Linked DNA regions of Mus musculus. The protein of the gene in region 1 interacts with the protein of each later gene in a biochemical or structural test. Links are inferred from orthologs where the notes say so. Each region holds a gene or a part of one and is shown in the gene's direction. Other genes may lie near its edges.

Region 1 (7,678 bases):
AGAGGAGAGTGGCTGAAGGCCACAAAGCAAGCTTCTGTCTGGAGGACACGTCCTGTGACTATGGGTACCACAGGCGCTTTGCGTGCACTGCACACACACAGGTAGGCAGGTCCCCTGACATCTGGAGCCCACAGACCTCCAGGAAAGTGACAGCAAGTCAGTTGCTGTTTTCTTTCTTTCCTCTCTTCTTTTTTAAAAAATATTTTGTTTCATTTTAAGGTTACCTTATCAACATGGGATACTTCAGATTGGGAGAAGGGAGATGACTGGGTGGTGCAGATTGCTTTTAAAGTGTTTCCAGCTGTACATGTAACCCCTGCTGGAGATCACAGGAGGGCAATGTGGATCCTTGCTTCATAACACAATGAAAAGTAGTTAAGTTTCTGAATACACATGAGTGACTTACAACATCTGCCTTCATCCTGTGTTCTTCAATCAGCTATAATAACTGTTGGCAATATACGTCTGTTTTCTCACCTGCAAATCCATTTTGTTTTCCATTTTCATGCTTAATATGGAATAGTGCCTAAAGTTAGAACAAAGATTTGAAGGCAGGTTATTAAAAATACTTTAAACAGCATCACTTTTAATAATGCAAGTCAGAGCAGAAAGACACGTTTCTTATTCCACACATGTATATTTAAACCTCCGGTGTAATTAATGTCAGATGTCCTTTGGATAGATTTGTTTTTAATAGTGCTGAGTTGAGCGCTATTGTATGTCTTAGAATTGGAAAATGTGGGTCAGTTAAAAACTATGTCAGTATTTCCATCCACAACCCTAATTTGTAAAAGGACATTATAATTTTACTCCAGCCCTGCTCTTGGCAAGTAGTTCCTGAATATACATTACCCAGGGCACACAGACCTCAGCGGCTGTCATCTTGGGAAGCAGATTCCAGTACTGTGGCCAGAAGCTTTTTGGTGACCTACATGTGGTGACCATTCTTCTTTCCTCTGGGCTTAGCTCATCAAAGTGGTTAGACGGGGAAACAGTTATATTTAACATACGTTGGGAGGGGCAGGACATATGCTTTAAGTGAAAAATCTAACACACCCATATATTAAGCATATACCCTTGCAGAGATTGCCTTCGCATTCAGTGATCACCCCAAGAGGACCTGGAGCATGCATTTCCCTATTCTTAAAATGACACATGTTAATCATCTCTAAGCTAGAACACTTGCATTGGGGGAGGGGAAGGGTGTATACTTCAGCCACAGAGGCAGAGGCACCCCTATTCACTTGTGTAATCTCACTTTTTTAAAAAAATGTGGTAGCCTTCTTGTTTATCCTTTCCTGTGCATGCCTTAAAAATTCTTCACTAGGTCTTGCATTGTAAGTGATTTACGTATTTGTGTTTTTTAATAGTCCTTTGAACAGACTTCATTTATAGAAAAAACATTCACATAGGCCCCTAATATTGACTTTTATTAGTTTTGTTATACTAGTGCCGTCTTCCTTAAATGTATATAAGCATCTAACTAGGTATAACTTATGAATATATTGTATATCTAACCACGTGTTTTAAGATCATAAATTTACATACAGAATATATGCACAATTTAAAAATAGTTACATCACACTCAATGACCAAATGTTGCAGACAAGTATTTTTTATTGAAACCAAAGAACACATTTAGATAATCTTCAATGAAGTTCTATTTTCAATTTATTTTCACAATGGACTTCAAATACATGAAAAGTCTATTTGCTTAATGGCCTTGGCAGCTTCAGGCATTTGCTTGTTAGTTCAAATAAGCAAAGCTCAAAATTCACATTTTCTGCCAGCTGGTGAATCATAAAGTAATAGTGTCAGCTAGAAGTTTGTGTATGTGTGCCCACGCACACACAGGCTCGTGCATATGCGCTCACACACACACACACACACACACACTCGTCATCTAGCATTTGGGACAATAGGTATAGGCCAACAACAGCGTTTTGCAAACACTTTAATTGCCAGTGGTATTACTTATACCTGTCTGCAATGGTTATCTAATCCAGTGCACAATTTAGAGTCCTATGTGAGATAGCAGTAATGATTGTGACACCAGCAGGTACTACTTACTTACCGAGTGCCTAAGGTGACACAATCAGAGAAGGATGTGGTAGAACCTTAAAGTTCTTTCCTTTGTATTTCCTGTTCAACACATAAAATGAGAGCTGGTCAAGCTGGAAATCTAGGCGATTATGGCTCTTGCTCCTGTGGTTAAGTAATGTTGGGTTGGCCTGTCTATGTTGTCCTGTGCTATGGACAGCAGCATCTCTTACTCTTCCCAAATCCAGCTGCAGCCAAACCCACATCAGTAAAGCACATCGAGATTTTTGTTTTTGTTATCTTTGTTGACCAAGATGACCTTAAGCATCAAAGCAAACTCAAGAGACAGTTTTAAATGACACTGCTAAGTTCGAACGATTGTCACATACGCTTCTTTTTTTTTTCCATTTTTTATTAGGTATTTAGCTCATTTACATTTCCAATGCTAAACCAAAAGTCCCCCATACCCACCCACCCCCACTCCCCTACCCACCCACTCCCCCTTTTTGGCCCTGGTGTTCCCCTGTACTGGGGCATATAAAGTTTGCAAGTCCAATGGGCCTCTCTTTCCAGTGATGGCCGACTAGGCCATCTTTTGATACATATGCAGCTAGAGTCAAGAGCTCCGGGGTACTGGTTAGTTCATAATGTTGTTCCACCTATAGGGTTGCAGATCCCTTTAGCTCCTTGGGTTCTTTCTCTAGCTCCTCCATTGGGAGCCCTGTGATCCATCCATTAGCTGACTGTGAGCATCCACTTCTGTGTTTGCTAGGCCCCGGCATAGTCTCACAAGATATAGCTACATCTGGGTCCTTTCGATAAAATCTTGCTAGGGTATGCAATACGCTTCTTAATCAATTTTGGATTATCAGAATGGAAATGCTACAGTTAAAAGTTCTCATGTGGAAATAAGAAAATGCCCATGCCCCAACCGAAGGAAATTTCTGCAGACTCTTGATAGCAAGAAGCATATGTATGTTCTTGGCATTTTTCTCCTGGCAGCCTTGTGAGACACCCATTGACTTGCTGGTGGAAATGTCTTAGCAAGTGGACGGATATGGCTTTGACCAGTTTGGGCAAAAATCCGTCCTTCTGACTCCACAAAGATCTCACTGATTATTTGAGAGAGGGAATGTGATAGTTAAGAAAAGGTATTCTGGACCTTGTTTATATAATCCTGAAACAAGCTCAGTCACTGCTCAGCTTTTACCCCTGAATCAGTCATTTGGTCTTAGCATGCCTTGGGTTTCTCAACCATAAAATGGAGACAGAAACACACCTGAGTTCTGGAGTTGTGAGAACTGACTATATATGGTTTTGGTTAAATAATAAATGTTAGCTATTCAAGAATGCAATTAGACTGTACCTATCCTTAAGGGGTTTATATAATATGATTTTAATATAAAGCAGAAGAGAATAGATGCTACAAAGCTACACAAGACAAAATATCGTTGTCATCCAGAACATAGGAAGGTCACTGCAGGGAATCTCGCTAATAGGACACTGCAAATGAATTACTGTGAGACATTTCTTCCTGATATGTTTGCTACTTTTGAATGGTGCTGGAGGCCTAATTTGTTGCTTAGGACTATTTCTACTGGTGACTTTAGAAGTAGGGCACATTTCTTCATGTTGCAAACTTGCAGCTGTTGAATAACTAGATATTATAAGATGGGCTAAAGTGTGTTCTGGTTTTTGTGTCCAATTCTTGTGGGTACTAACTCAAGGTTTCATTGATAGATAATATCATATAATCAGTCTGGTCACATCCTATAGTTTAATTTTGAAGTGTTTTCTGATTTCAGGGATTGAGTCCTGGATGTTATGACACCTATGCGGCAGACATAGACTGCCAGTGGATTGATATTACAGATGTACAACCTGGAAACTACATTCTAAAGGTAGGGGCTTTGAAGATGTGTAATTTACCACCACTCTCTTTTTCTGGATTCAAATATTAAATAACCATCTGTTTGAAAGTACTTAGACAACTTTCAGAACAATTGTTAAGCAATCTACGTTATGATTTTTTAAAGAACTTGGGGAGATCTACACAACTTCCTTTTGTAATATCTCCAGTATGTTTAACTACCTTCTTCACCTAAACTCCTTTTCTTGCTTGATGTAGATGAGTCCCTTGTTAGTAATTTCACTGTAGCATTATAGAAATAGGAGGGAAGAACAGTATCCATTAAGTATAAAATCTTTCACACGGTGCTATTTTTCTTGTTCAGGTCAGTGTAAACCCCAGCTACCTGGTGCCTGAATCAGACTACACTAACAATGTTGTACGCTGTGACATTCGCTACACAGGACATCATGCCTATGCCTCAGGCTGCACAATTTCACCGTGAGTATTATTTGGCAAGCCAAATGATATTCTTTTCTTCCTTCGTTTCTTTCTTTCTTTCCTTCTTTCTTTTTCTTTCTTTCTTTCTTTCTTTCTTTCTTTCTTTCTTTCTTTCTTTCTTTCTTCCTTCCTTCCTTCCTTCCTTCCTTCCTTCCTTCCTTCCTTTCTTTCTTTCTTTCTTTCTTTCTTTCTTTCTTTCTTTCTTTCTTTCTTTCCTCCTTTCTTTCTTACAAGGAGGTTCGTACTTGATTTTTAACAAGCAGTATTGATCAGATGGAAATATAACGTTAAGCAAAGTTAATTATTCTTAATAAAATAAATATCCTACTTAATCTATGAGTGAGAAATAAGAAATGCTCAGAAGAGGAAAAGCCCTTACCTGGAGGGCAATCATACTTGCCTCTTACTCTGACTTTCACCTCCAAGTTCCATAGAAAGTGTTCCTTAGAACACGACTGGAGAGTGCCTTTAGGACAGCATGTGAGTTTAGCCTTGAGGGCTCTCAAGTACAAAAAGTACAAAAGCAGAGTTGACAAGGAGCTTGCATTGTAGGGGTCAGATTCGTGGGCAACTGCAGGGCAGGAGTGAGTTGCAGGCAGTGTTTGCAAAGGCTGCTTCCAGTTGGGTTTGTCAGCTGTGCTCTGATCAACAGAACAACTGAAAAGCAAACTAAGAATTTTGAGTTTCTCTCCAAAGACCATGAAAAATCTGACATTTTTTTTTTTTGAGCAGGAGTGTAGTGCATCTGAAGCTATGTGAACAGTCTGATGGCCACCTGTGTGTGACCTCATGCTGTCATTACAGGCCCCCCCTCCCCACCTCTAATGACATGTCACTGTTAGTTTAGTACCGATTGTTTTGCATGCCAGTTAGATACTTGAAACCATTCTGGTGTGATGTAAAATCTACCCAATAATTTGGTGTGTTCCATTCCTGGAGTCTCTGCCCTCAGTCTTCCCAGATGTGTCAGGCCTTTTCCACCTCTGCAAAGCTTTCTCCTCACAGACCTTTCTAGTTAATGATTTGCACCCAAATGGATTCTTCCTTGCATGATGACCAATATTTCAACATAAAGATACCTACTTCTGTCTCTGTTCCTATCTCTGCCCATTAATGTGTCATTCTGGGCCCAAAAAACCATGGAGACAGAGAAGGGAAAATGCAAGATGGTGCAGAGGCCATGACTGTGCCTCCTGGCAGATGTATCACTCTTGTTCCGTAGAATGAGCTTGCCGGCTTGGTTGCTGGATCCCTGAGTCCTGCTTGACTTTTTCTCGTTTCAATTTTATTTTTATTTATTTACTTACTTATTTGGTTGTTTTGCCTTTTAAACATTCAGGCTGTGGACATCAGGCAATGTTCTTCATATTATTGTCATATTCCTTCCCTCTGATCACTGTGAGATCATGTTCTAATAGTAATTTTACAAGGTGATAGTTGCTAGGGCAGAGAGACATTGCTCCATCAAGTTTTGAAAAGGCTGACTAAAATGTTATTTGTTGTGCGCACTCATGATATTATCCTGCTGATAACCTGTCCCATTGTGTTTTCTCAACCTAGGTATTAGAAAGAAGCCCAGTTCCCAGTGGATAAAGCCGTACCTGGTGTTTGGACATATGGAAACTATAGATTAGCTTAAGTAGGAAGGACTTACATATTTTAAAAGACAAACAGTAAACAACAAAGGAGGTTTTGTTTGGACTCTTTCGCAACAAATGACATAACTGGATTTTGAGTGTTTAAACCAACAATATTTGGCAAATTTTAAATCCTTACTCATGTTATTTTGTGAATTAGCAGTGTTTCAATTCTGTGGGTGCATAGTGGGCTCTTTCAAAGAACTCTGAATTTCTTATGTTCTTTTGAAATTATAGTGCAAATGAGAAATTGATATTTTAATGAGTGAGCCACAATTTGAACGGATTCTTTTCTAAAGTGCTGAAACCAGTGAAACAATGATGATGAGCCTATATTTGCCTCGACTTAGATTGATTTTTTAAAAAGGTGTCCCTATTGTGTAAACAGAAATGGATACACTTGGTGCTGAGGAAGGGCCAAACATCTAACTATTGTTGTCATGAAGTATAATCAGAAAGATGGCGATATATGTATTCAGATAGTTACATCCCTATATAAAATTATGTTTACATTTTAGAGTTACTAGACAATTTCCTTTCTCTTAATTGCTTAATTTCACTCTGACTTGAGTCAACTTGTTTTGGAATGAATTGGAAAATTCCAAGATCCTGTTTGATACTTGTTGCTATTCGATCCCACGCTGCTTAGCTTTTCTGTGGGCAGAAATGTCTAATGTGACAATCAGCACATCCCCATTGTGAGGTTTCACGGCATAGGGAAATCATTCCGATGACCAACAGCTGTGATCAGTGGAGAGCTAACATGCCCTGCAGCATATTTTACTGTTAGCCAGAATTAAGTCACTGCTGACACAGCAATTATACAAGGAATCTCTAACATCACAATCATCTTTCAAATACTGTCAAAAGAAAATACTGGAAAACCTTTTAGATTTTTTTTTCAACTCTACTACACTTCTGAAATGTTCAGCTATTAAGGAGAATGTTGAATTTATATATATATAAAACCATCCGTAATAGATGACCTACTGTGTGCAATGCAGCACCATCATCTTAGACTCTTCAGGAGTTGGGTATATACGTTTTTGTGTATTTACAAAATACAACCCAAATTAGCGAAGCACATAGCATTGTATACTTGAGAGGTTGGCGAACAAGAGGGAAGCAGAGCCTTCCTGCAAAAACCAAGGAGCACGCACCACAACGAGACCGCTGTGACCTTACGTAAAACTGTGAAACTGTGTGTAGCAGTGGGATTTGGAGACTCTTACATTCAGAAGGTGCAGAAAGAAATCAAGTTAGACTTTTAAATTCCTGGTGCTTGTGCCGAAGTCGTACTTCATTTACCAGCGTTAAAATCTCAAGTAAGGCATCTCCTCCTGTGGTAGAACGTGTCAGGTAGAGCTTTCTAAGTGAGCTGGGATCCTGACTCACGTGTCATAGACTTGTAAGAGCAGCAGTCTCTAATCATCTCGCTGTAGACTCATTGCTGCAGAGCAAGTGGGAGGGGCCAGAGATGGGCAGTCGCCAGGGGTGGATAGCGCGGTACACATAATTCTCATCTGCCTGAAAGCACACTTACCCATAAGCAAATGCAGGCAGAACTCTGATTGAGCTGGTTTCTGATCCACAGGATTGCTTCTTCGATGTACCTCTTTGCCCTAGCTAGCATTTCAGTTTTGATACTGTA
Region 2 (8,422 bases), on another chromosome or scaffold:
TTGGTGCCTTGGTCTAAGTGACAGCAGCAGCTCTGAGTGGCATGGGACTTGAAGAGCCTGTCCAGGTAGCTGCTTCTTGTTCTCCATGGGGACAAGGTTCAGCCTTTTTTTTCCCCCCTCTTTTTCGAGACAGGGTTTTTCTGTGTAGCCCTGGCTGTCCTGGAACGCCCAGCCACGGCTCAGGCGGGATCGGAATTCTAACAGTCCTCTCATTATGTTGGTGGCACATGGGACAAATCTCTCAGCCCTTCTCATCTGTGAAGCAGGGTAGCAATGACATCTCGTCTCTGGCTTGACAAGAGAATTGTAGTGTGTCCTTGCCAGTGCCCAGGATGCTTAGAGCTTAATAATCAGGACTTTTACTTAACATTATTAACAGCTTAATTAGGTGGTTATGGTGGCTCATGCCTGTAATTCTAGCACTTAGGAGACTGAGACAAGAGGCTCCCTAGGAGTTCAAGACTAGCTTTGTTTTCCTAAAAAGTTCCAGACCAGCCTGGGCTATATATATGAGTCCCTGTGTCTGTCGGGCAGTGGTGGCGCATGCCTTTAATCCCAGCACTTGGGAGGCAGAGGCAGGCAGATTTCTGAGTTCGAGGCCAGCCTGGTCTACAGAGTGAGTTCCAGGACAGCCAGGGCTACACAGAGAAACCCTGTCTCAAAAATCAAAAAAAAAAAAAAAAAGAGCCCCTGTTTCAAACAAGAACAACAAACAGATTAACTGAGATGTAAGTCACTTACTATGCAACTTGCCCTTTTGGTTCTTTTGTTTGTTTATTGTTTGTTTTGTCTTTTTGTTTTCAAGACAAGGTCTTACCGTGTAGCTCTGGCTGCCCTGAAACTCACTATGTAAACCAGGCTGGCCTCAAATTCACAGAGATCTACCTGCCTCTGCCTCTCTCAAGCTGAGATAAAAGTTGTATGCTACCACTGCCCAGCTGCAATTTACCTTTTAAGAAAATATATATGTAAGCCAGTGTGGCGGTGCACACCTTTAATCTTAGCACTCAGGAAGCGGAGACCCACGGATCTCTAAGTTGGAGAATAGTGTGATCTACATAGTGAGTTCTAGGACAGCCAGGGCTATGTAAAGAGACTTTGCCTGAAACACCAAGACAAAAACAAAAAACAAAACAAAACAAAAGTCCCCCCCCAAAACAAACAAAACCCCGAAAGGATTATATGTATATTTGAGACAGGGTCTCTCAATATAGCCAGTCCTGGAATTCCCTATGGAGACTAAGCTGGTCTCAAACTCAGAGATCCACCTCGTTCCTATGTGCCACTAAGCCAGGTATTTTTCCTTATATTTATCTTCTCTTCCTTTCCTTTCTCTCTCTCTCTCTCTCTCTCTCTCTCTCTCTCTCTCTCTCTCTCTCTCTCTCTCTTTTTCTTCTGCCCCCCGCCCCCCCATTAAGCTTTGAGATTGGCCTGATTGGCAATGGGGAATGAAGAAACAACAGACAGGCATAAAGAAAACCCGGGGAACGGGCCATGTGTTCTGAGGGAGACAGCAGCAGCCTGGAAACTCAGCTGATTCATTATATGAGCTGAAGCTAATCCTTAGGGGATCTCTGCAGGGGAGCAGTTTCAGGCTACAGTCATCTGGGCTTTCAAAATACACATACTGTCAGCATCTGTCCTCATGGATGGCCCCGCCTGAGCCTGACCTGGAGAAGGCCCTGCCATCCCCACGGGTCTGAGTGATTGGGGCCCTTCACATGACTATGTTAATATCAACAGTACACATTTGCTCAGGACCATCTCTTCCTCACACTTCTCTCTGTGGGCTTTGTTCTACCTCAGAATTCCAACACATATTCACACACTCACATGCACACTCTTTTTTTTTTTCTTTTGGTTTTTCAAGACAGGGTTTCTCTGTATGTGTAGCCCTGGTTGTCCTGGAACTCACTCTGTAGACCAGGCTGGCCTTGAACTCAGAAATCCGCCTGCCTCTGCCTCCCAAGTGCTGGGATTAAAGGCGTGCGCCACCACGCCCAGCTCACACGCACACTTTACACTCACATTCACACTCATATATTCACATATACTCATAACATACACTCACATACACAGACATTCACACACATGAACACTCTACACTCACACACATACATTCACATATACTCATACACTCACATACACAGACATTCACACACACATTAACACACTCATACACTTACACTCACGTACATACATTCACATCCATACACACACACTCATGTACATACACACACACACACACACTCTAGTGTGTCAGGAGTTAGTTCCTGGGATTGAACTTTGGATCTTGGTAATGCTAAGCAAGCAGGATGCTACTGAGCTACACCCCTCACCCTCTATTGCTTAAAAAAGTCAGTGCTGGAGAAATGGCTCCAGTATTCCTCTTCCGGATGACCTGAGATTGGTTCCCACATCGGGCAGTTAACAACTTCCTGTAATTCCAGGTCCAGGGGACACTGCTGGCCTCTGTGGACACCTGCACTCGGGTGTATATACCAACACACAGATACACATGTATATGCATCATTAAAAGTTAATTTTTTTATTTTTTCTTTTTTTTTTTTTAAAGATTTATTAATTTATTTCATGTATGTGAGTACATTGTTGCTGTCTTCAGACATACCAGAAGAGGGCATCCAATCCCCATTACAGATGGTTGTGAGTCACCATGTGGTTACTGGAAATTGAACTCAGGACCTCTGGAAGAGCAGTCATTGCTCTTAATTGCTGAGCCACCTCTCCAGCCCGTTAATTTTTTTTTCTTTTTTCTAATCAAGGCAATGGAAGCTGAGGAAATGTCTTATTGGGTAAACCGCTTGCTACACAGCATGAGGGTCTGGGTTCAGATTTCCAGCCCTAGCATAAAGGCCAGCTATAGTGGTGATGCAGGTTTGTAACCCTTAGAGGGCCAGGGAGGTGAAGACTGGCAGACCACTCTGGCACTCTGGCCACGCAATCTAGCTAAATTAGTAATTTCCAGCGACAAACCCTGTCTTAAAACATAAGGTGAATAGGTACACACGAATATACCACATACATTACCACTCAGACAGTTAAATGAAATGAAGCAGATTTTTTTTTTTAAACGTCAAGGCAGAGCGGAGCATGGTAGTGTACACCTTTCATCCCAGAGCCTAGGAGGCAGAAACAGGCGGATCTTTGTGAGTTCGAGGCCTCATCTACTTAGTGAGTTCCAGAACAGTCAGAGTTACACAATGTGAGACCCTGTCTCAAAATGACAAAACAAAAACAAACAAACAAACAAGATGGAAAGAGGTTGGGTAAGGGAAAGTTAAGGAAGACCTGGTTATTGCCGCTAGCGGTCTGGGCCAGGCACGGGAACCCTGGACACGCAACCCTTTCCCGTCTAGGCCCGCCTTGAGACGTGGGCAACGCGAAGTCCCGCCCATTCACCCCTTCCTGGGCGCTGGAGGCACCCAGACTCCGCCTCCAAGGCATGATCTCCGCTGGGGGCGGAGGCGGAAACTGGGTGGGGGACTTGGATGGGAAGAGGCTCGGGAAAGGGCTGGCACTGGGCCCTAGTGTCCTCCGCGCCCAAGTTCAAGCTTGCCCGCCTTCCCAGGGGCTTCCATTCATTTCGAGCCAAGAATACTGCTGCCCTCTCCCCCATACTACTGTAGTTTTGCGCTGGCACGGCTTGGGGAAGCAGTACCCCAAGTAAAGAGACCACCTGGAGGCCGTGGATGTGGATGCAGAGGGAATTGGACAATTAATTTGGACAATTAATTAAGTTGGACGAGGGTCTGGAAACCTTGGATGAAGTTTTAGGATCATCTAAGTGATGATGGTTTAACACTGGATAAAATTCTGAAAGGAGTAGAATTTGAAGCTCTGAGGATTAAATGCCTAGTAGGTTCTGGGAGGCGCAGAATCGGGTTACACGGAGGTGCGAATGCACAGCATGGGATTCCGGAGGCACAGGTTAGATAGGGTCTAGGTGGGCAGAATAACATTTTGAGTGAAGGCCCGGGGTCCTTAGGTGAGTTTGGGGGCCAAGCATCAAGGTCAGTGGCCTAAGGATCCAAACTTTGGGAAACTCTGGCTGGGCGTCCGCAGGCGACTCCAGGCAGCGCCGCGGGGGACCGGGTGGGGGCCTGTGGCCGGCCGGGGCGGAGAAGCCGGGGGGTCGGGGTCCCTCCCCCTGGCGCGGGCTCAGGAATCCGCCGAAGGGCGGGCGGAGGCGCCGGGGTGGGCCGCGGCCGGCGGGCGGGCGGGGGGCGCTTCCTGGGGCCGCGCGTCCAGTGAGCTGCGCGGTCCGTCCGTCCGTCCGCCCGCCCGCAGGCACTGCTGGAGTCGACGCGTGAGTGGCCTCCAGCGGAGGGAGGGCGCGGGCCGTTTGGCGGCCGAGTCGGTGCTGCGCGGAGCGGGGAGGCCTGCGCTTCACGACTCGCGGGGCGGGGGCGGGGCGGTCCGGGATTGCGGGCCTGGGCCATAGGCCTGCGAAAGGATTCTGTCCCCAGCCCTGGAAGGTTCCAGCCTCAGCACAGTCCTGAGACGAGACAGCTGGGACCCAGGCTCCCCTTCCAGATAGAGGGAATGGGGGGTGCTGTGGCAGAAACCCCTGACTTCTGCCCACCACCTCCCAGCCTCAGGATGCTCCCTTTTGCCTCCTGCCTCCCCGGGTCTTTGCTGCTCTGGGCGTTTCTGCTGTTGCTCTTGGGAGCAGCGTCCCCACAGGATCCCGAGGAGCCGGACAGCTACACGGTGGGGACCGTGGGGTCACCAGCTTGGGATGGGATGGGAAGGACAGTGAGATCAGGATCCTGGGGAGGCTGCTTCTGGGCAAGATTCTCCCCGGCTTGGTTGGTGGAAAGCTGGAGGCCATTGTGTGGAGCTGACCCGAGCATGACTCTGAACTCTGGCCCTGGTCTTGGCCTGGCTAGTTGGTGGAGACAGCCAGGGTGGTCACTGGCCACATCGGGTTCCCTTCCAGGAATGCACAGATGGCTATGAGTGGGATGCAGACAGCCAGCACTGCCGGGGTGAGTCTCTGTCTGGGGTACTAGCCATCTTCAGGAACTGGGAAGGGGGTTGTTGTTTCCCAGGGATACCTTACCTCCCAGAGCTGCTGCAGGAACTTGATGGCCCTTTTCCCTGTCCAGCTTGGTAGCCAGCCATGCTTCCCTTGTGCCACTCAGTTAGGAGCCCTGCCCCTTCAAGAAGCTGGACAAACGGCCTCTATCCTGCAGGAGGGAAGGGAGCACCTGGCTATTGCCCAGAGAGAAGGAAATACGCACACCTTCCCTGGACTGCACTGTACCTGCCTAGCCCAGCTCTTTATCCCAATGCAGCCTGGGAGAGCCGTGCATGCCCCGTGGGTCGGCAGGCCCGCAAAATTTCTCTTGGGCAAAGGTAGAGGCAGGGATTTGAGGAGGCAGGAGAATGGAGATACCAGTGTGAAACAGGGGGCCCCACTCCCAGTCCTGCCAATCCCTGGCAGGGCTTCTGGGTCAGCAGCCTTAGTTTGCCTAGCAGAGAGAAAGTCTTGCTCTGTTGCTCAGCTTAGAGAAGGCCAAGTTGGGCATCTGCCTCCCACTACCTCCAGGGCCAGCCCAGGTGACTGGCTGTGCCCAGCAGGCCCCTCTCTGCAGATGTCAACGAGTGCCTGACCATCCCGGAGGCTTGCAAGGGTGAGATGAAATGCATCAACCACTACGGGGGTTATTTGTGTCTGCCTCGCTCTGCTGCCGTCATCAGTGATCTCCATGGTGAAGGACCTCCACCGCCAGCGGCCCATGCTCAACAACCAAACCCTTGCCCGCAGGGCTACGAGCCTGATGAACAGGAGAGCTGTGTGGGTAAGCAAGGGCTGATCGGGTGTCTGGGCTTCCACGCGGTTTATGAGTTTTTTCCCCGAGACAGGGTTTCTCTGTGGAGCCCTGGCTGTCCTGGAACTCATAGACCAGGCTGGCCTCGAACTCAGAAATCTGCCTGCCTCTGCCTCCCGAGTGCTGGGATTATAGGCGTGTGTTACCATTCCTGACTTTTTTTTTTTTTAATTTTTAAACTAATTTTGTATTTACTGTACAAAGTAATGCGTTCCATCATGGTATCATCTCCTGGCACATGTCATTCTTGTTTGTTTTCATCTTCTAGTAGCACTTTTTGGTCCTCCCTAGTTTTTGTTGTTGTTGTTTTTGTTTTTTATTTATTTTTTTGTTTTCTTTTGGGGGCGATTTTGAGACAGTTTCTGGATTTGATCCCCACCATCACAAAAACAAGAGGATCTCTGTGGGTTCCAAGCTAGTTGTGGTCTGTGTGGTAGCAGACACTTGTAGTCCCACCAGTGGGGAGATGTGAGCAGGAAGACCTGAAGGTAAAGGGCACCCTCAACCGTAAGGGCTTTGACTGAGGACGACCTGAGCTGGGTGAGCTCTTATCTCAAAAAGGGAGCTAATTAATTAATTAATTAGTAAAAGTAATGTTCCCTATAAAATCCCCAGGCCTCATGCTCCTCTTCCCCCTGGCTCCTCAGAGACAGATCCAAGTCGTCATCTACTGCAGGCTTAGCATGGTCTGCAGGCCCAGGAAGGCCCTGGCAGCCCCTCATTTCCTGTACAGACACAGGAGCTCTGCTCGCAGCCTCTGGCAGCTTTTTGATCTGGAGTCAGCCTTGGGAACCATTGGCCTTGGAGGAGGAAAGATCCTGGCCCTAGAGTCAGCTGAGGGGTGTAAATGGACAAGGTTTTGTTTGTTTGTGTATTTATTTATTTTTAAGACAGTGTCTCATTCTGTAGCTCTAGCTACAACTAGCTTGGAACCCACAGAGATCCTCTTGCCTCTGCCCCCCACGTCCTCCCCCAGTGGTGGAGTTAAAGGTGTGTGCCACCAGACCCCACAAGGCCTTATTTTAATATGCTCTCCTAGTGGGTACTTCTCCTAGTGACTCCTTGGTGGACTCTTTTTTTTTTTTTTTTTTTGTACTATTGGGATGATCTGAATTACACATCCATGATTTAGTGCCAACCACCCACGTGCCCATGTGAATGGAGTCTAGGGCAGTCCGCCTCCTCCCGAATTGAGATCCCTCACGTGGTCAGGAGCATATGGGGGCCTCCAGGCGAAGGCTGAATGCTGTCTCTCACAGATGTGGACGAGTGTACCCAGGCTTTGCATGACTGTCGCCCTAGTCAGGACTGCCATAACCTTCCTGGCTCCTACCAGTGCACCTGCCCTGATGGTTACCGAAAAATTGGACCCGAATGTGTGGGTGAGTTCTGAGTGGCTCTGCTAGGTTCTTGTTCTGTGACCTTGGTCTGGCTCCTGGTCTGATGCCTTACCTCACCCCAGTCCTCTGCTACTAGTGCACTCCTGTCACTAGACACGGAAGATTAAATGTGGGTGACTCAGCCCAGCTCGCTGACGAGGGCGGGCAGGGGTGGTTGCCGAGGTGAGCCAACTCAGGCCCCACCTGGCCTGTGTTCTACTTTCCCTCCCCCACCTCCATCTCAGACATAGATGAGTGTCGTTACCGCTATTGCCAGCATCGATGTGTGAACCTGCCGGGCTCTTTTCGATGCCAGTGTGAGCCAGGCTTCCAGTTGGGACCTAACAACCGCTCTTGTGTGGGTGAGGCTGTGCCAGACAAGGTTCTGGGATCCTGGGTGGAGATGTGTGACGTGGGGGCAGGATCTTCTTCTTGAGCCCAAGTTGAGTGTGTGTGTGTGTTTGGGGGGGTCTGGGCGTGACACTGCTCTCACCCTCCTGTTTGTCCTCGCACCCTCAGATGTGAATGAGTGTGACATGGGAGCCCCATGTGAGCAGCGCTGCTTCAACTCCTATGGGACCTTCCTGTGTCGCTGTAACCAGGGCTATGAGCTGCACCGGGATGGCTTCTCCTGCAGCGGTGAGAGTCACTTGTGCTACTGGATACAGCATCCCCCCCCCCCCCGCCTCCCCCCCCTCTGCCGCCTCCCTTAGCACTTGCAACATATTGGAGCAACTCCAGGCGCATGGTCATTTGCTTGGGGCTTCCGCACGTCTCCTTGCACTCACAGGCCTCCCTAAGCTCCGTCTTGAGCTTGTCGTTTGGCACTCCCAGCTTGAGGGGATGCTATGCTAGGGGCTTCTGAAGCTTGCCAGAGAGACAGAGAAGATGGAGGTGCCAGTCTTCCTGAAAGTTGAGTTGACTTGCATTGGAATCCTACACTGGGGAAAGTTTTCTCTTCTTTCTGGGCACATGTCTACTGCAGACAGGTTATTTGAGTATTAGGGGCAGTGATAACAGGCTTCATCAAGTCTCAGGCAGAAATAGTGGGAAGCACCATTTGTTTATCACTTAAAATTTTCAGTCTCATTTAGTCTGGCCAGGGATGATTGACTTTTGTAAAACAGGACATTAATATTCCTCCAGGTTGGCAGAACTGTGGAAAGCAAGCAGAGAGGTCAGAGAAAG
Region 3 (7,678 bases), on another chromosome or scaffold:
GTTTGCCAGCTCACTCCAGAAGAGTAAGTTGAAGGTGCCAGACATGTCTGCATTTACCCATACACACATATATACATGTGGGGGCGTGGGTGGTGGTGGATAAATGGATGGATGGATGAGGTGAATGCAGGGGTTCTTTCCTCTCTCCTGCAGGTGCTGGAGGAGCTGGAGCCCTGGGAGGCCTGGTGCCAGGTGCAGTACCAGGTGCACTGCCAGGTGCAGTACCAGCTGTGCCGGGAGCTGGTGGAGTGCCAGGTGAGCCGTGTTTCCCATCCTGAGATGGGTCTGTATGGTCTTATAGAAGAGGCTTGGGGCTTGGCATTTTACAGATAGGAAAACTGATACCAAAGATAAGTGGGGAAACGGGGAGAGCTTCCCCTAAAGCAGTTGAATGGGGAGAGGCCCTCTATAGGGACCTGGCTGCTGATCCCTGGCAAGCCTCTCCCTTCCTGGGGAGACTCAGCCAGCTCTAGAGCCTCCTATCACCCAGAGTTCAGTGATCTGCCTCTGGGGTATCTCTAGTTCCTTACCAACAGAAGACCCTTCACTCAAGTGACCTTAGGTCCTTTGTTATCCACCAATCAGAGATCAAAGGGAGATGATTGAAAGGCCTTAGTATTCAAGGCTTTCCCAATTTCTCTTCTGCATTCTTCTTCCCCCTCTAGGATAAAACTATCCTTCTGTAATTTTTTTTTTTTTGTTTATAAAGGAACTAGGACTAGGAGTGTGGCTAAGTAGTGAACATGTTTGCGGAACATGCAAAAGAGCTCAGGTTCATTTCCGATATTGCAAAGAAAGAAGGGTCACTCTGTGGGTAAAGGTACATGCAGCCAAGCCTGGGGACTTGAGTTCGAATCCTGAAATCCTACATGTTGGAAGGAAAGAACTGACTGGCATAAGTTGTCTTCTGACACCCATATGTGTGCATTGCAATAAGTCTGATGGGCAGAGGTGAAAGCCCCAGAACCCACATAAAATCCAGTGGCCATGGTGGCCTGCCTGTACTGTTAGGATATGGGTGATGGAGACAGGGACTCCCCAGACAAAGCTGCCTAGCTAGGATAGCTGAGACAGCGAGCTCTGAACTCAGTGAGAGACGCTGCCTCAAGTACATTGTAGGATCAGAAACAAGACAAGGAGGACCTCTCTGAATGGTGTGATTCCTGTACTCATATATGGGAAGAAACCTCTGAGAAGTCAAATTTCGCAAAACAGATCTATATAGTTAATACTTTCTTAGTTAAATGCCCAACAAAACTTTTGTAAACGTGTGTGTGCGGGGACGCCTTTTTTTTTTTTTTTTTAAAGGATGAGGAAGGAGTCATTTCCTATGACAGCTTGGGATAAAAGTGCTACGAGGAAATTTTTATGTAAGAGCATCCTAAACAGGACTGAAATCCCCATAGGCTCAGGGCTGCCTCATCTTATGATCTCTTTATCCAAATAGGAGCAGGTACCCCTGCAGCTGCAGCTGCTGCCGCCGCCGCTAAAGCAGCCGCCAAAGCAGGTCAGTATGCTAAGTTGTACCCTTCTGTACCTGGCCATTGACCCCAGACCAGAGGCTTCTCACACCTCCTGCTGAGGAGCTAAGGGTGGCCTTGATCTCCTGCTCTTTCTGTCTCTACCCCTCATATGCTGGGATTCCAGGCATGTAGTGCTGAACTTTGTTTATGCAGTACTAGGGGATAGAACCCAGGACTTACTGTGTGCCAGGTGAGCGCTCTACTATCTAAGCCACATCCCCAGCCCTGCGTATGAGCTGCTCTCAAACCTTTAGATTATCTGCTCCTCTCTAGCAGTGTAGGACTGCCAAGCCCTCCATGACCTGCCCCAACCTACTTCTGAAAGCTCCTGGTTCCCCAAGTCCAACTAGGACTGGTTCTTTTCTGAATTTCAAACTAGAGTCCAGCCTTATCCCCTTGATGGGCTGTATTTCTTGATAGATGTCAAGGTCACCCTCAATAGCCCCAAGAATGTATACATTTCCTAAATGTGTTAATCCTGAATATGATTAATGGTAGGTGCTCCACTTCTAGGAACTCAGCTGGGGTCCTGTCATAGGCTGAGGGTGCTGAGTCTTGGCCCAGCTACTCAAGGAGCTAAGGCAAGAGTATTGAAAGTACAAGGCCAGGCTGAGAAATTTAGTTAGACCCTGTCTCAAAGTAAATAATAAAGGTAATAATAATAATAATAATAATAATAATAATAATAATAAATATGGGACCTTTTCAGCAGCAGCAGTGGAACTCCTGCTTAGAATCCCCCAGGGAGGGGCTGGGGGCATGGCTCAGTGGTAGAGGCCCTGCCTAGAATCCCCCAGTGAGGGGCTGGGGTGTGGCTCAGTGGTAGAGCACCTGCCTAGAATCCCCCAGGGAGTGGCTGGGGGCGTGGCTCTGTGGTAGAGCTCCTGCCTAAAATCCCCCAGGGAGGGGCCGGGGGTGTGGCTCAGTGGTAGAACACTTACCCAGCATGTTCAAGGCCTCCCATTTATTCTCTAATACTAAAAAAGAAAAAAGTGAAACAAACAACAAAAAACAAACCTGCTTGTCCTCCACCGTCCTCAAGCCAGCCTCCAAAGTATCCCTATCCCTCAAAAGGTTACAAACTACTAGATTTACATCTGACTCTTATTACATAGGAGCAAAAAGAGGCCCAGCAAAGCAAAGTATCTGGCCCCAAGATCACACAGCAAGTCTTTACTACGGCTGGGAAGGGAACCCACAGCTCCTGACTCAGCTGAGGCTCTTTGCAACAGCTCCTGTTCTCTTTGTTTAGGCCTTGATTACAGATAAACTATTCCTTCTCTTTTAGGTTTGGGTCCTGGTGTTGGTGGGGTTCCTGGTGGAGTTGGTGTTGGTGGGATTCCCGGTGGAGTTGGTGTTGGTGGGGTTCCTGGTGGAGTTGGCCCTGGTGGTGTTACTGGTATTGGAGCTGGTCCTGGCGGTCTTGGAGGTGAGCTATGGTGGATTGAGTGAGACTAAGGGTTCCCTGGAATCTTCACGGGTGCCATCTTGAATATTCTTCCTCTCTCTCCAGGAGCAGGGTCACCGGCTGCCGCTAAATCTGCTGCTAAGGCAGCTGCCAAAGCCCAGTACAGTAAGTGCGCTTTGATTTCTCTCTGCTGTCCCCACCCACCCCCACCCGGCCAGGGCACATAGCCACAGGACACAGCCACAGGACACAGCCTCTCAGATCCATCCCTACTGTCTTTAAGATGCCCATGTCACCTAGCAGAGGGCTCAGAAGTACAGACCCAGCAAGAGGGAGGCCTGGCTTCCAGTCTTGGTTCCCAAGATAGCTGAGTGGCTTCCGGCTTCTTTTAGTTTATGTATCAAGTGTGTGGGGGTCAATGGCACGGCTACACATAGAAGGTCACTAGGAGAATGTAAGAGGTTCAGGGTGAGGATGCGCTTCAGATGATAGAGGGCTTACCTAGCATGCACGAAGCCCTGGCTTCCATCCCCAGCACTGCCTAAAACAGGCATGGTGGTGCATACCTATAAACCCATCCCAGAGCTTGTGAGATAGAAGCAACGGGACCAGCAATTCAAGAGTACCTTCAGAGCCAGGTGTAGTGGCACATGCCTTTAATCCCAGCACTTGGGAGGCAGAGGCAGGTGGATTTCTGAGTTCGAGGCCAGCCTGGTCTACATAGTGAGTTCCAGGACAGCCAGGGCTATACAGAGAAACCCTGTCTCAAAACAACAACAACAACAACAACAACAAAAAGAGTACCTTCAGTTTAAGTCCAGCCTGGGTACCCGAGACCTTGGCATGGGTGGGAATTAAATAGATTTTCTCCAAAAGCTAAGAATGGTAGTGCACACCTCTAATCCTAGCACTTGGGAGGCAGAGGTAGGCAGATCTCTGTGAGTTTGATGCCAGCCTGGTCTATATATAGTTCCAGGCTAGCAAGAAGACCTTGTCTCAAAAAAACAATAAGAACTGGGGCTGGAAACATGGCTCAAGGGTTAAAAGCACTGACTGCTCTTCCAGAGGACCTGGGTTCAATTCCCATCACCTACATAGCAACTCACAACTGTCTATACCTTCAAGATCTGATACTCACACAAACACGCAGGCAAAACACATAAAATAAGAATAAATTATTTAGATACACAATAATAAAAGTATTGAATCTGGTGTAAGCCGGCAGATGAGGACTAAGCTGGGGAGGAGGCCTTTGCTCCCTTGGAGGTCTGACTCAGCTCCTGAGTTAGGGCGCCTCCCAGGGGCAACATTCCACATATATAGAACCATCTACTACCTTCCTCTCTGCAGGAGCTGCCGCTGGGCTTGGAGCTGGTGTCCCTGGATTTGGGGCTGGTGCTGGTGTCCCCGGATTTGGGGCTGGTGCTGGTGTCCCCGGATTTGGGGCTGGTGCTGGTGTCCCCGGATTTGGGGCTGGTGCTGGTGTCCCTGGATTTGGAGCTGGAGCAGGTAAGGAAAATTCTAGAATTTGGTAGAAAATACACTTGAGCTCAAAAAAAGAGGACTCACCTCCTCCCAGGACTCTATCTCTACCCAGCATCCATTAGGTTTTCCTGAGCCGGCAAAAACATATGGGTACAGGCCTGCCATCTCAGCTACTCAGGAGGCTGAGACATGAGGCTTATGAGTTCAAAACCAGCCTGCCCTGTAGAAAGGCTCCAAGGCTGACCTGCATAATATTGTAAGATTCTATCTTAAAAGATAGACAGACAGACACGATACAACAGGGGCTAGTACTGTAGCACAATGGTTAGAGCACCTACCTAGAAACCCCCAGTGAGAGGCCGGAATATGGCTCAGGGGTAGAGTCCCTGCCTAGCATGGGTGAGGTCCTGGGTTCTATTTCCAGTACCAAGCAGAAATAGAGCAAATGGGGTAGTACGAGAGGGAGGGGATGCCCAACAACTCCAGAATGTAAGGTTTTAGAGGGAGGTATAACGAGGCTGTAGACCAGTTAAAAGAGCCCACCTAACACCCACAGAAAGGAAGGTAGAAGTTTCTTTCTCCAGGCCAGTCTGTTATCTTTCTGAAAATGCACTAGGACAAGGATGTCACTAGGAACCCCAGTTCTTCATCATGTGACTGCTGAACCTCACTATGGGCCCAGTCACAGTAAGGCAACACTGGGCCTAGAGGGTATAAGAAGGGACAAGCATAAGAGTCCCAGTTGTACAATGTCAGGGTAAAATACTGGAGCCCTGTATCTACAAGTGACCCCTCCCCGCCCCCTGGCTAGAGTGCTATAGAGTTTCAGGGCTTTAAAACATATGATCTAGATAGAAGAAGTCAGGATGGGCTTCCTGGAAGAGGTTACAGAACCCCAGGTCCAGAACTCAGCAGCTGACCGCTTTCCTTTTTTCCACAGTACCTGGATCGCTGGCTGCATCCAAAGCTGCTAAATATGGTGAGTGCTACACATCAACTGGTCCCCTTGTCACTCCCACCAGCCTTGACAGTATAGGGCTGAGCAGTCATTCTGAGGGACATCTGAATGACAGCCATAGTCCTACCACTTGCCCATTAACCCCCGTGTGGCAGCCAAACACGCCTGCTGTGCCTGACATGGTGGTACACACCTATAATCCCAGCTCCTGGAGAGTGGAGCCAGGAGGTTACCCTTGGCTACAGGGAGAGTCCAAAGCCAACCTGGGCTGTATTATATATACCCTGTCTCACCCACAACAACTCCTAACTCCAAGCTCCACTCCGACCCTGACAGTTTCTGTGGAACAGAGGGAATGTCACTGATGTTGGTCCTACAAGACTGGGCAGCTTCAGCCCCCGCTCCACTCCGCCCTTTGGCCAAGGAGCTGTGGGGTTATGGATATTCCTTGTGCAGGCATCCCCAGGCCTCCTTCCTCCTTTCCTGTCAGCATGACTTTGCCCAATACACTCCAGCCTGGAGGACGTGGCAGACCCGCGTGCCTTGCCACTTGGCACTCTAGCCAGACCCACACTGTCTGTGACCCCCACATTCCTGGCCTCCTCAAGAGGCAGGCAGGGGGGCCTCTGCCAGGGATGCGCCAACTGGCCACAGTTTATCTACTTGAGGCCAATTTCCACCTCGGAAAATCCCATTCCTCAGCTACACACACACACACACACACACACACACACAGCCCCTGGTCACCCACAGCTTCCTCTCAGGTTCTGTGCCAGCTGCTCTTGGCCCTAGTCAACAGACTTTACCAGGGAAACGCACTAAGGCTCTCCTGGAAGAGCAGCCACTGGGGCCTTTCCTGCCCTTAGGACCTTGAACACAGCATTCTGTTTAACCCCTTCCTTACCTCAACCTTCTCATCGGTAAAACTGGTATGACTGCCTAGAATGGCAGACCACACCTGGAAGCCAGCTTTTCAAAGGCTGAGGCAGGAGAATCTCAGGTTCAAAGGTAGCATGGCCTAAAGAGCGAGAGCCTGACTCAGAAAAGAATAATCCAAAGAAAGATGAGTGCCTGCCTGAGATTCCCAAGCAAAGGGCTTGAAGACATGGCTCAGTGGTAGAGCCCCTGCCTAGAATCCCCCAATGAAGGGCTGGGGGCGTGGCTCAGTGGTAGAGCCCCTGCCTAGAATTCCCCAGTGAGGGGCTGGGTTTGCGATTCACTGGTAGAGAACTTGCCTAGAGTCCCACAGGTCTAGGTTGCATTTCTGCCTTATGTCCCTAGGGTATGAACACATCTTTGAAAAATAGGACTCTGAAGGTAGGATGCTACCTGTCATCCTAGCAGTCAGGAAGCTGAAATGGGATCAATAGGTCATGAGTTCTAGGTCCGTCTCAGCAACTTAGTGAGACCATCTCACTAGGACAAAAAGAAAAGAAAAGAAAAAAGTAGGGGCTGGAGAGATGGCTCCGTGATTCAGAGCACTGACTCCTCTAAAGTCCAGCTCTGACTCCAGAGGTCCTAAGTTCAATTCCCAGCAATCATCTGTAATGGGATCCGATGCCCTCTTCTGGCCTGTCTGAAGACAGCTACAGTGTATTCATATACATAAAATAAATAAATAAATCTTTTAAAAAAGAAAAAAAGTAGCTGGGTGGTGGTGGTACTTTTAATCCCAGCATTTATAAGGCAGAGGCAGGTATATCTCTGAGTTCAAAGCTAGCCCAGTCTACAGCCTGAGTTCCAGGACAACCAGGGCTATACAGAGAAACCCTGTCTTAGGGAAATAAAAACAAAAACAAAAACAAAAACAAAAAAACAAAAAACAAAAAACAGAAAAACAAAAGTCAAAAGAACAAAGTTCTAGGCATATATATATATATATAGCATATGCCTATAAACTCCTGTACTTAGGAGATGAAAGCAGGAGGGTCAAGAGTTCTAAGCCATCCTCAGCCATGCAGAAAACCCAAAGCCAACATGAGCTATAAGTGATCTGGTCTTCAAACGACAAATGAAAATATGGGTACTGTCCCTTAAGGGTCCTCTCTCCACAGGAGCAGCAGGTGGCCTTGGTGGCCCTGGAGGTCTCGGTGGCCCTGGAGGTCTCGGTGGACCTGGAGGACTTGGTGGGGCTGGTGTTCCCGGTAGAGTAGCAGGTATGTTTTTGCTGTCCCCAAAATGGGTTGGCTGGCAATGGAGCCTGAGACTCCCATGCAGTTCCTCCTTGAGTCCCTGTGTTCCCAGGAGCTGCACCCCCTGCTGCTGCCGCTGCTGCTGCCAAAGCTGCTGCTAAGGCTGCCCAGT

Evidence for each region.
Region 2: the proteins of Lox (region 1) and Efemp2 form a complex in vitro, tested with the Homo sapiens proteins (2 studies listed by IntAct, with this or other methods). The link is inferred for Mus musculus from reciprocal best matches to the Homo sapiens genes LOX and EFEMP2.
Region 3: the proteins of Lox (region 1) and Eln form a complex in vitro, tested with the Homo sapiens proteins (2 studies listed by BioGRID and IntAct). The link is inferred for Mus musculus from reciprocal best matches to the Homo sapiens genes LOX and ELN.

Annotation. Positions count from the first base shown.
Region 1 is NC_000084.6:52,517,506-52,525,183, reverse strand, and holds part of Lox (protein-lysine 6-oxidase preproprotein), read left to right. Parts: coding exon 1-101; intron 102-3,845; coding exon 3,846-3,941; intron 3,942-4,274; coding exon 4,275-4,390; intron 4,391-5,950; coding exon 5,951-5,957; 3' UTR 5,958-7,678. UniProt on the Homo sapiens protein: Responsible for the post-translational oxidative deamination of peptidyl lysine residues in precursors to fibrous collagen and elastin. Regulator of Ras expression. May play a role in tumor suppression. Plays a role in the aortic wall architecture.
Region 2 is NC_000085.6:5,470,448-5,478,869, forward strand, and holds the start of Efemp2 (EGF-containing fibulin-like extracellular matrix protein 2 isoform 1 precursor), read left to right. Parts: upstream 1-4,242; 5' UTR 4,243-4,327; exon of another isoform or gene 4,328-4,563; coding exon of another isoform or gene 4,564-4,620; coding exon 4,621-4,731; intron 4,732-4,960; coding exon 4,961-5,009; intron 5,010-5,618; coding exon 5,619-5,825; intron 5,826-7,114; coding exon 7,115-7,237; intron 7,238-7,479; coding exon 7,480-7,596; intron 7,597-7,753; coding exon 7,754-7,873; intron 7,874-8,422. UniProt on the Homo sapiens protein: Plays a crucial role in elastic fiber formation in tissue, and in the formation of ultrastructural connections between elastic laminae and smooth muscle cells in the aorta, therefore participates in terminal differentiation and maturation of smooth muscle cell (SMC) and in the mechanical properties and wall integrity maintenance of the aorta.
Region 3 is NC_000071.6:134,707,824-134,715,501, reverse strand, and holds part of Eln (elastin precursor), read left to right. Parts: intron 1-153; coding exon 154-255; intron 256-1,447; coding exon 1,448-1,507; intron 1,508-2,811; coding exon 2,812-2,952; intron 2,953-3,036; coding exon 3,037-3,096; intron 3,097-4,281; coding exon 4,282-4,440; intron 4,441-5,356; coding exon 5,357-5,395; intron 5,396-7,428; coding exon 7,429-7,530; intron 7,531-7,618; coding exon 7,619-7,678. UniProt on the Homo sapiens protein: Major structural protein of tissues such as aorta and nuchal ligament, which must expand rapidly and recover completely.